2 linked regions of the Danio rerio genome follow. The protein of the gene in region 1 purifies or fractionates together with the protein of each later gene. This does not show direct contact. Links are inferred from orthologs where the notes say so. Each region holds a gene or a part of one and is shown on either strand. Other genes may lie near its edges.

Region 1 (5,233 bases):
CAAGACTCGCATTGGTTTAAAGCACCTGGTAAGGAGACTAATTCAGCTTTAAAAGATAAGGAGGGTAAAGAAAGATTCACTTCATATTTTTGTCCACAGACTAAACCCTGTCAGTTTAAAACCTCAAATAACACTACACTACCATGATTAGAAGTTATCACTGTGTGTTAAGTTAAAAAAAGATGCTAACTACTTTTTGCTTTGTCTGTCTCTTCGCTTGGCTTGTGCTTTTTTTCCAGATCCAGTGATGGTGACTAAATGTCAGGCCTTTACTTTGCAGCAGCAGTGGGAATCTAAGTATAAATCACCTGGAAATATCAACACCGGAGAAGATCTGCTGCGTACATGTATGTCCTGACTAGCATATTTCATTTTTATATTTAATTCTATATTTAAAACTATTGTAAAGTTTAGGATATATTAGGGCTGCATAATATGTTGCTTGATCACCGATATCGCAATGTGTGTATCCGCAATAGTCATATGTGGTGGAAGCTGGGGGTGACGTGGGGCAAACATATTTTTGTTGCGTGTTAGCAGACCCATGTCTCCGAACAATTCTAGTATTTGTTTGAATTACGGTTGGCAACACAACGTGGCATCCAGGGCCGGCGCGTCCATAAAGGCGACCTAGGCGGCCGCCTAGGGCGGCAGTATAGAGACGGCGGCATCCGCGACACCTCCCTTACCACCCGCGTCCTCAGTTATGTCCGCGACACCTCCCTCACCACCCGCGTCCTCAGATATATTCGCCCATAGACGACAGAATAGAGAGGGCGGCGTCAGCGACACCTCCATCAGCACCCGCGTGTCCTCAGTTATATCCGCGCATAGGGCGGCAGAATAGAGAGCGCAGTGTCCGCGAAACCTCCCTCCCTCAGCACCCGCGCGTCCTCAGTTATATCCGCGCATAGGGCGGCAGAATAGAGAGCGCAGTGTCCGCGAAACCTCCCTCCCTCAGCACCCGCGCGTCCTCAGTTATATCCGCGCATAGGGCGGCAGAATAGAGAGCGCAGTGTCCGCAACACCTCCCTCCCTCCCTCAGCACCCGCGCGTCCTCGGTTATATCCGCGCATAGGGCGGCAGAATAAAGGTCCGCGACACGTCACTTCATTTTCATAACCAGGTCACTTTCGTTTTCACATTGGGGTTGAGGGCGGCATGATCGTCCTCTGCCTAGAGCGGCAGTTCAGCTTGCTCCGGCCCTGGTGGCATCTCTCTGAACACTGTTAACGGGTAAAAAGAGTCTTCGAAGCTATACCATGCATATTAATGAAGTTGCATCTCGTTCACAATAGAGCGCACTGATTGGTTCAAACCAAGTCTTTCTCGTGAATTAATCAACAAATATGTGCTGAAAACTCAATGACGTCACTTTGTACCGGCCGGTACAGACAGCCAATTCCAGACTCCACACTCCAATGATTGCTAGTATATGTCTCCTAATAGTGTTTTTAGCAATGTAGGACACATATATGACTGTCAACATCTAAAAAAAATGTGTTTCAGTGTTTTGTGACCCTTTAACAAGCCATAGCAAGCTTGCACCAAATTTACGACCATCTGCACACAAATTTGTCAATGAACTTTTTGTGACACTCTTAAAACAGTGGTCACCAAACTTGTTCCTGGAGGGCCGGTGTCCTGCAGATTTTAGCTCCAACCCTAATCAAACACACCTGAACAAGCTAATCAAGGTCTTACTAGGTATACTTGAAACACCCAGGCAGGTGTGTTGAGGCAAGTTGGAGCTAAACCCTGCAGGGACACCGGCCCTCCTGGGCCGAGATTGGTGACCCTTGCTCTAAAACAAATACACATTAGTGTAAATATAGCCTAACACCCATACCTCCTTAGAATGCGTTGAGGTCTAATAAATATATGTATATTTGAAAAAATAAATATATATATGTACAAATATATAAATAATATTTATTCCATAATCAATAAATGTGGTCATTATTTGATTCTAGATTCATCATTCATGATTGTGATGTGTGTGTTCTCAGACCTGTGGAAGTGTCAGTTCCTGCTGCCGCTGATCTCCGTGGGTTTGGTGTTTCTCGCGGCATTAATCGGAGTGTGTGCCTGTCTGTGTCGCAGTATTACTCCAACACTGTTCGTAGGGCTGCTGCATCTGATGGCTGGTAAGACAACGGTTCATTATGTATAATAGGGGAGTAATTACAGCTACTTCCAGGAAGAAGACTGTTCAGTTCTGAACTGGAAGCTGCAACTGCTTTTTTTTCTGTATTGTGACGCAGTTCAGATTCAGATTCAGATTCAATTTATTTGTCACTACACTTTCGTATAGCGAGATTGGACCCCCCAGACCATACACAAAACATCACAAACAACTTTTCAGGGGAGACAGATCTTAGGTGGTAGCATTTAGAAACGAAGAAAGATTCATTTGGACAGTTAGGCTAAAAAACACCCCCTCAGCTTGCCCTTGATTAGGACAAAGTGAGAAAAGGGAGAGAAACGGAATGAGAAAACACCCCACGGTGGCTTGTTTTTTCTACTGCGAGCTGATTGGGTGTAATAAAGTAGGCATTTCATTCAGAAAGATTGGGTAAAGTGTTTGGGGAGAGTTTTTACAACCTAACAGACTCCTCCTCACAATGTCTGTTGTCCAAACTGACAGCTGGAGGGGTGTGGTTAAGTATGTTAGCCACGCCCGATACCTCAGATAGACATAATCTGAGAATTCAACTGAAAACAGGAAGTGTTTTCAGATTTAAATTTTGAAATGAAATGCACAGATGAATTGTTCACCATAGAACTAGCAATATAAGCTAACAAAATCAATACGGCTAGTTTTGACTTCATGTGTACTTTAACAATCATTCTACACGCAGGCCTGTGTTCCCTGGGGACCGTTTGCTGTTTCCTCACGGGACTGCATTTGCTTCATGATATATCAGAGCTGCCCGAAGGAATGGACTATTCTCCAGGCTGGTCCTTGTTTTTGGCGCTGGTGTCGTCTCCGCTTCAGGTCATGGCGGCTGCGCTTTTCATATGGGCTGCGAGGAGCCACCGCCAACACTACACTCGAATGACAGCCTACAGAGTCGCCTGAACAACCAAGGACTGACTATAAAGTTGGTGAAGTGGTTCAAGGAACGCGCACAGCCTATTCACAGCTGCTTTTGCCACTAACAAAGCTGTGATGAAGTAATGAAGGATACCATCAGCCCAAAATTAGTAAGCTAAACTAGCGCCGTCCACCTATAGCACTCCTGTGAAATACTTGCATCACTTGAAGGATCTTCCTGCTATATTACTGCCTTTTTAACCACTTATTTTAGCCTTTGTGGTAACATTTTACTTGAAGGGGTGTTCATAAGACATAATATATTTAAAGGGGGAAATTAAGCACTCAGTTAAGTTTACATTATTTTGTATATTGGATTCCACTTGAAAATATAATAAACAAACAATTAATGTAACCATTTAGCAGTAAACGGCATGTTTTACTATAGATTTTAGATCTAGGATGCTACCATCTTGGAATGTCGCTGTGTCTGACATCACAGGGTTGGTTCTGTTCCCTCAGGTGAACGGATACTGTGAAAGTAATGGACTGAAAACAAAAACTGAAACAGCCTAATTTAACCCAATGTGTGCAGTTGTGGACGTGGAGCTGGTGTAAATACAAGCATCAGATGTGTGTCTAATATAAAAATACATTTTCTATTTTTCTTTTTGCCTCTTTTAGTTACTGACTATTTGGTTCACTATCTGTATTACGCTGCCTGACTACCTGTCTGGGTTTCAAGCATGGCAGTAACGGACTGAACACAGAGACTGGACAGCCTGATTTAACCATGAAGTTGTGGATGTGCATCGCTGGTGCAAATACAAGCATTTAAGTGTCTTAAGTTGTGTAATTTTTTATTTTATTTTATTTCATTTTTTAATACCTTTTGTTTGATGCCCTGTGGTCCACTCACGCTGCTCCAGGGACAGATTAGTGCGACAATTAAAATCATACATGACTTCACGCTTTACTAAGTCACGTCTGTGTCGGTTATGTCATAACATATTCCCTTTTCAAGCTAATCAGCTCGCTCTCACAACATGTATGAAGGATAAAAATCTGCCATGTGAAAAACCGTGGCGATCTTAGTTTGGTTCGAACACGAACAGATTTGAGCAGCAGTAGCAGTGAAAAGTGAAAGTACCCGCCCCCATTATGTCAGTAGCGGACCTTGTTGAAACCCATTGACTCAGGCAGCATAATAAAGAGAGTGGACCAAAGCACATCAAATGATCAGTAATTAAAAAGAAAATAAATATCTATTTTTATATTAGACACACATCTGATGCTTATATTTGCACCAGCTTCACGCATTGTGTAATTAGGCTGTTCAATTTTCATGATCAGTCTCTTACTTCCATAGTATCTGTTCAGCTGAAGGAACGGAACCAACCCTGTGACATCAGACACAGCGGCATTCCAAGATAGTGGCGTCCTAGGTCTAAAATATGTAGTAAAATATGCCGTTTTCTGCTAAATGGTTACATTAATCGAGTTTGTTTATTATATTTTCATTAAAGTGGAATCCAATGTACAAAATAATGCAAACTTGAGTGCTCCATTTCCCCTTTGAATAAGATTTTATGAATGCTATTGGCAACTATCATTAAGAGCAATTTCGCTCAGTTTAGACATTTTAAATGCAAAGATGACATTGTTTGTAACGACAACTTAACATAAACAAATGCAACCTTTTTTTGAATTTGTCATGACAACTTGACATTACCAAAACAACAAAACCTGTCATAAATCTGTCATAAACATGATTGTCATGAGTCATTACAAATAACATGAATTTTATAACAACGTCATTCATTGATGTATATTTTTACCTCAACTACAGTGGTAAATTTGTCATTAAAACATCATCAAATATTAACGATGCTGTTAAAAAATGATTGGTCACAACTTTATTTTGATGGTCCGTTTGTTGAATTCAAGTTACAATGAATCTACATGCCAACTAATTCTCATTAGATTATAAGTAGACTGTTAGATTAGGGTTAGTGTAAGTTGACATGTACTGGCAAAGTTTCTTATAGTCTAAAATGCCTGTTGAAGGAGCAGTATCAACAGATATTAGGCATACAGTCTACTAATACTCAAATAGACCATCAAAATAAAGTGTTACCAATTTAGTAATAACACTTTTAATGAGACATATTATTGATAAATACAGCTTATTTCTCT
Region 2 (6,164 bases), on another chromosome or scaffold:
TCTGGGTTAATTTTTATTTGTTGAACACAAAAGGAAACATTTTGAAGAATGCTGGAAAACGGAAGCCATTGCCTTCTAAGGACAAAAGCTATTGAAAATATCAAAATATATTTTCTGTTCAAAAGAAGAAAGCAACCCAACCAAGTTTGAAATAAGCAGAGAGAGTGAACGAAGACACAATTAAATTTTTTTGTGAGAACTACCCTTTTAAAGCTGGAGTATGTGAATTGTTTTTTTCAAAATATGCAACACATTTCAATCTTACTATGGTGAAACTATATTATAATTACTATATTCATTCATTTTTCTTCAGCTTAGTCTGTTTAGTCACAGCGAATGAATGAACTGCCAAATTATACAGCATATGTTTTACGCAGCAGATGCCCTTCCAGTTGCAACCCAGCACTTGGAAACACCCATACACTCTCACATGCACACACATACACCACAGCCAATTTAGTTTCTTCAGTTCACCTATAGCGCATGTCTTTGGACTGTGGGGGAAACCGGAGCACCTGGAGGAAACCCACACCACCACGGGGAGAACATGTAAACTCCACACAGAAATGCCAACTGGTCCAGCTGGGGCTCGAACCAGCAACCATCTTGCTATTTTTTTTCTTTTATTTATCTTGTCAATCCACACTATAAAGACATAATCTACTGCAGCAACACTCGGGGGCCACAAATTCGCAAACAAAATAGGGTTGAATGATTTAAAAGAAGATGTTTCTCAGACTGGAATGTTTATAAATGTTTTTTCAAATCTGTTCTCAATTTCACAGCCGGAGATTCCTTTAAAAAGTGCAAAAGTTTGGCTGATAATAAAGCTCATGTGTGAACTGAACAGCATTTCAAACAAACATTCCTGTCTGATAAACTGCAGATGATTCAGATACTCCATAAAAATGCTTCTAAATTTGCACTGCAGAACATCACTGATCCGCTTCACAGATCTCTGTAAGCCGCAAGCTTGTTTTATTTAATAGTACTGAGATGATTCAGTGCTGTCTAAAAGCAAAGATTGATGGAGAAAACTCTGTTCTACGGTATGAAAAATGGCTCAGGTGTCCCACAGGAGTTTTTAGAAAAAAATGATTCCCCCGTTGAATCATTCATCATGCGAGGCTGACTGAACCGCAGCTTCCTTACGTTCTCAATCATACAGATTTTTGTCTGTTCTATATCACCCTGTACAGGTTGTCCAAGTAGGATTTCAAAAAGACAGATGAAGACACGAGAGATGAAGGCTGTTTTTAGCATTAACCTTGTCGTCTTCAAGTTGGCTCGTGTCGGATAAAAGTGAACTAACACCATTAATAAAAGCCGGACTGGGCTGACTTCTTTTCTCAAATTCTCATTCAGGAACACAATGTCCTCCACCCTGAAATGTTGTGATGGTGTTGTCCTAATGCTGGCAAACAGATGCATCATTACTATGCTAAATATGTAGTGAGATCATGTCTGTTTTACATTTCATTTACGTGCAGTGCAACTAAACTTTGAAGATGTTTTATTTATTTTAAAAGGAGGATTAAAGCTTACATTATACATGAATTATGAGTTTGTTTTTCAGCCATACACTTCTGCCACTTTATTATACATCTGAAACTGTTACACAATGTCCGCCTCTGTGTTTTAATTGTTGGAAACATTAGACGTTTCCTGCCTCTAACATTAGACATTTCCACTGTTGGTTCCAATTAAGTAGAGTATTGAAAGATGCAAAGGTCAGTGGTTGAAGTCCAGGTAATGCATTAAAACAAATAGTGTTCTGTCTGTCTGTTTGTCTGTCTGTCTGTCTATCTATCTGTCTCTGTCCGTCTGTTAGAGATTATGATGTGCTGTCTATGCTTGCAAAAGGGCTAATCTATCTAAGATATATCTATCTATTTATCTGTCTGTCTATCTGTCTGTCTGTCTGTCTGCCTGTCTGTTAGAGATTAGAACAGCAATGCTGTCTATGCTTGCAAAAGGCTAACGAAATGTACATTTAAAAAAGGATCACTCATTTGATTAATAATAGTCCTACCCAAGCTACTAAACAAAAGGTTTAATTGCAATCTAGAACAAATTTACCAATGCGACGAACAAATGGGTACAGTTTGGAATTGACCTAGCATCGGAACTAATAAATAAATGTAAAAGTTCCTACCGGACTGTGTTTTGAGGAGGACGAGGAGGCTGAATAACAGGAAGAGGAGAAGCAGCCACTATGGCGGAGGTACGTTGATAAAATATCAAATCTTACACTTTTCAGTTATTCGCTGAAGTTGATTGACATCTAAAATCACACGTTGTAATACACATTTTTCTATCAAACTATTTGGATTACACACAGGTGTTTATAATCCCGTTTATTTGACACGTTAGCGCTTTTCTAGTGGTCTCCAAAGATAATTATCGACGTCGATATCTAACGTTAACTATCCTCTCGCTCAGTGTCAGCGCATATACATGACTATAAAACTAGTTGTCGAGTTTAAAACGAGCTCCGCGTTATTTCATTTTTACGTGTTTGAGGTAGGGCGTTGTGTTTGTTGTTTCGGTGTATATGCTCACGATTTCCGGTGTTTTTAATGATGGTTAGTTTTTATGATAATTATAAAAAGTGTAGTTTCAGCAGCAAATCTGCAAAATGTGAGGATTTCTTAAGGATGATTTGGGCACCGATGATGAAGACAAAGGGGAAAAGGATGATAAATGAAACTCTCCCATCACAATAATAAATGACATTTTATTAAATGTTTTATTAAATAGCCGAAATAATTGTCAGAATTGTTTGTGTTTTAGATTATAACTGGTTTTACAGATTTATTTTCAAGTACTTGCATAAAATAGTTCCGTAAAGCAGGAATTTAATAAGAAATTGCTATTAAGTCTAAAAATGGACAAGTGTTTTTCCTTAAGCATACCCTTTTTACTATTAGAAATGTATTAAAATGACAAATGATTTTGTAATAATATGTTATTTCTGTCTCTCTCCAGACGCACAGCTTGCAGGACCTGCGGCAAGCAGCCGTCGCCTCCAAGGTTTTCGTTCAGAGAGATTACACCAGTGGCACCATCTGCAAGTTTCAGACCAAGTTCCCAGCCGAACTGGAGAGCAGGGTGTGTAGAGGTCCTAAAAAACTAAGGGGGACTTTGGGGAGGAAATTTTTTTTTTTTCGGATTTAGGATTAACAGTGATAAAATGGTTTTGTGGTGGTTTTTAATTTTTGTCTGTCGTGGATAAATAAATATAGCACTAAAAGTGTTTTCACACCTGGCATGTAGTTGTATAACCCAGTGTGTTTTTACCTTCAGGTTGGTTAATTTGGGTAGAAGTGAAGAAGGCAATCAAGCTTGAATTCAGACCAAAATAATCAGTCTGACACAATTAGTCTTAGCAAGGTGCATGAAGACAATCTACTGCCGCTAAGAATGAATGGTGAATTATCATAGAGTAAAAACAACCTGAAATGCCTTATTGATCCTTTGAACTGCAAATTTTAGCACCAATGTCCAAAACAAATAAAACACTGATGAAGCTTTTAAAATAATAAAGGAATGTAACAGCTAAAATGAAATCTACATGAAGCACGCAGAGCTGCTGTGTGTCTTTTTTGACAGATGACTGAGAATCTGGAACATAAAGAGGTGTGTGCTCTGATCAGTTAGATGATAATTAACCTGCACGTAACAAATATTTATCAGGTTAAAAATATCGCCTTGCACAAGTAAACCAAATCATAACGATTTTGTAACTCCTATAATCCCTGTTTCGGAACAAAGCAAACAATCTACTGGTTTGAAAACTGCCTAAAACCCAAGTAGGTAGTGGCAAGTCCCTGTTCTAATGATTTGTTGGATTCATTCTTGATGTTGATACCAAGCAAGTGACTGAACTGATCACTGGATCATTGATGCAAATGATTTATTAAAAAAACTCGGCATCAACAGCTGTGAAGGGAGCTCTATTTGCTTGGTCTCACACACACATACAGGCATCTAAACGTGCACAAACACACCTTTTAAACTTGACAAAAACTCTTGACAACCTTTACTGTCTGCTGTGTCTTTAATATGATGTTAACATTATTATGCGTTATTGAAACATCAAGGAGGACGCAGCAAAGAAAAGTCACTTATAAATTAAAACTTTATTATTTTCTGCAACAACCTTACATTTGAAAAGGAAACAGTCATAGGGGTGATCATACTCAAAAAGACCCTAGCCTATAAGGCTAGATGTTTTCTTTCCCTTATTTATTTATTTGTTTGATGCATGTACTCGTGTGCGATCGGAAAACTGTGTCTGCACTCCGCCCCTCCTTTCACTCCGCCCCGAAGCCCCATTTGGCCCTCTTTGCCCCAAGGTATTCAGCGGGTTGAAAAAGGCTGACCGCTGGCCTCAAGAAAGCCTCGATTTGGCCCGATTAGGCCCCCAAAGTGACAGTGGAAAAGCGACTGGCCTTGGCTCGCTCGCTTTAGGCACGATAGTGGAAACCCAGCCAATGATGGGCAAAACAATCTGTGGATATCTGTGCACACAGATTCTGCCTAATAATGACTATATACAAGTAATAACTAAAATCTACATGTGTAAAATTATTTCTATATTTGTGAAAAAACAAATAAACGCATACACAATTTTTTGCTTTTTTAAACTGAATTATAGTCATTTTCCCAGCATTCTGAAAGGCTTTATGAACTAGTATAGTTTTTGGACTCTCAAAACATGTTTTATTGCTAAATAAATGACATACGAGATAAAATCAGCTTGCACATCATTAAAACAACAGTTACAATATTATCTATAAACATCACACACCCTTATGGCAAACAGCGAAGGACAATGTTTACAGATGTCAAATTCATCTAAAGAATTGTTTTATTGATTCTGACAGCTCTAATTTTTCAGTCAGATGACTTCAGTTTGGTTTTTTGGAGTTTTGCAGATGTTCGTTCTGTTAATTCTACCCAGATGTGTGTGTGGTAAACTGGGAAAGCTAGGGGGAAAGATATAATAGCTCTGTCAAGCAACACCACTTACATCGTCTGATTGTTTTGTTTTTTCAGATTGACAAGGTGCAGTTTGAGGAAACCATACAGACCCTGAATAATCTCTATGCAGAAGCAGAGAAGCTGGGCGGCAGGTCGTACCTGGAGGGCTGTTTGGCCTGTCTCACTGCGTACACAATCTTCCTCTGCATGGAAACACACTATGAGAAAGTGAGATATCATCATTTAGTGTGGATATCATCAATATGACTTAGATATGGAATTCAGTATTATGGTGTTTTGTTTAGGTGCTGAAAAAGATTGCTAAGTTCATCCAGGAGCAAAATGAGAAGATCTACGCTCCTCTTGGGCTTCTTTTGACCGACCCCATTGAGAGGGGGCTCAGGGTCGTATCCTTTCTCTCTTTTTTCACATGTCTGTCTGTTCACGGGTGAAGTGGGTGTTTTTTGACCTGACAAATTTGTAAATTAAATTTTTTTTTTTAAGCATTTTGAGTGGGTCGCAGAGAGATGCAGGATTATGTTATGAGGACTCATAACATTTATAAATTTTATTGCACATTCTATTTAATGCATATTCATCAGTATTAATAATATTCACAGCTTAATGGCCATGGAAAATGTGGGATATATAGAAAGCAGATCTATCTATCTATCTATCTATCTATCTATCTATCTATCTATCTATCTCTGTGTGTGTGTGTGTGTGTGTGTGTGTGTGTGTGTGTGTGTGTGTGTATATATATATATATATATATATATACATATACACACATATTACACAATACACAATACACAATATACACAATACATATTATACATAGCTGAGGCATGCAAATGTTTGTGGATAAAGTGTATATATTAAATTTTTTAAAGAAAATTTAAGAAATTATTTTGGACTAAAAACATTCCTTTTAAGACATCTTTGTTTGATAAGAAAATGAATAAATATAAACACACTGCAATTTGAGTGCTTTCATTCATTATTATGCAACAGGAAGCACACGTTCCAAATGCATGTAAATGAGCTCAGGAACATTAAAATTTAATATTTGGATTGCTTAAATGTTCTTGTATCACAAGATAAAGCATTTTCAGAATTTTACAGTGAGTTGTACTGGTTGCCTGTGTCACTTTTAAAATTCTTCTCTTGGTTTTTAA

Evidence for each region.
Region 2: the proteins of cldnd1b (region 1) and golga7 purify together in Homo sapiens (affinity purification with mass spectrometry; 3 studies listed by BioGRID and IntAct, counting the BioPlex papers as one, with this or other methods). This does not show direct contact. The link is inferred for Danio rerio from reciprocal best matches to the Homo sapiens genes CLDND1 and GOLGA7.

What each region holds. Positions count from the first base shown.
Region 1 is NC_133176.1:55,825,120-55,830,352, forward strand, and holds the end of cldnd1b (claudin domain-containing protein 1b), read left to right. Parts: coding exon 1-28; intron 29-239; coding exon 240-347; intron 348-2,009; coding exon 2,010-2,147; intron 2,148-2,861; coding exon 2,862-3,082; 3' UTR 3,083-3,886; downstream 3,887-5,233. UniProt on the Homo sapiens protein: Plays a role in negatively regulating the permeability of cells to small molecules.
Region 2 is NC_133185.1:25,240,705-25,246,868, forward strand, and holds the start of golga7 (golgin subfamily A member 7), read left to right. Parts: upstream 1-2,176; 5' UTR 2,177-2,215; coding exon 2,216-2,224; intron 2,225-2,988; coding exon 2,989-3,111; intron 3,112-5,061; coding exon 5,062-5,214; intron 5,215-5,291; coding exon 5,292-5,393; exon of another isoform or gene 5,394-5,587; intron 5,588-6,164. UniProt on the Homo sapiens protein: May be involved in protein transport from Golgi to cell surface. The ZDHHC9-GOLGA7 complex is a palmitoyltransferase specific for HRAS and NRAS.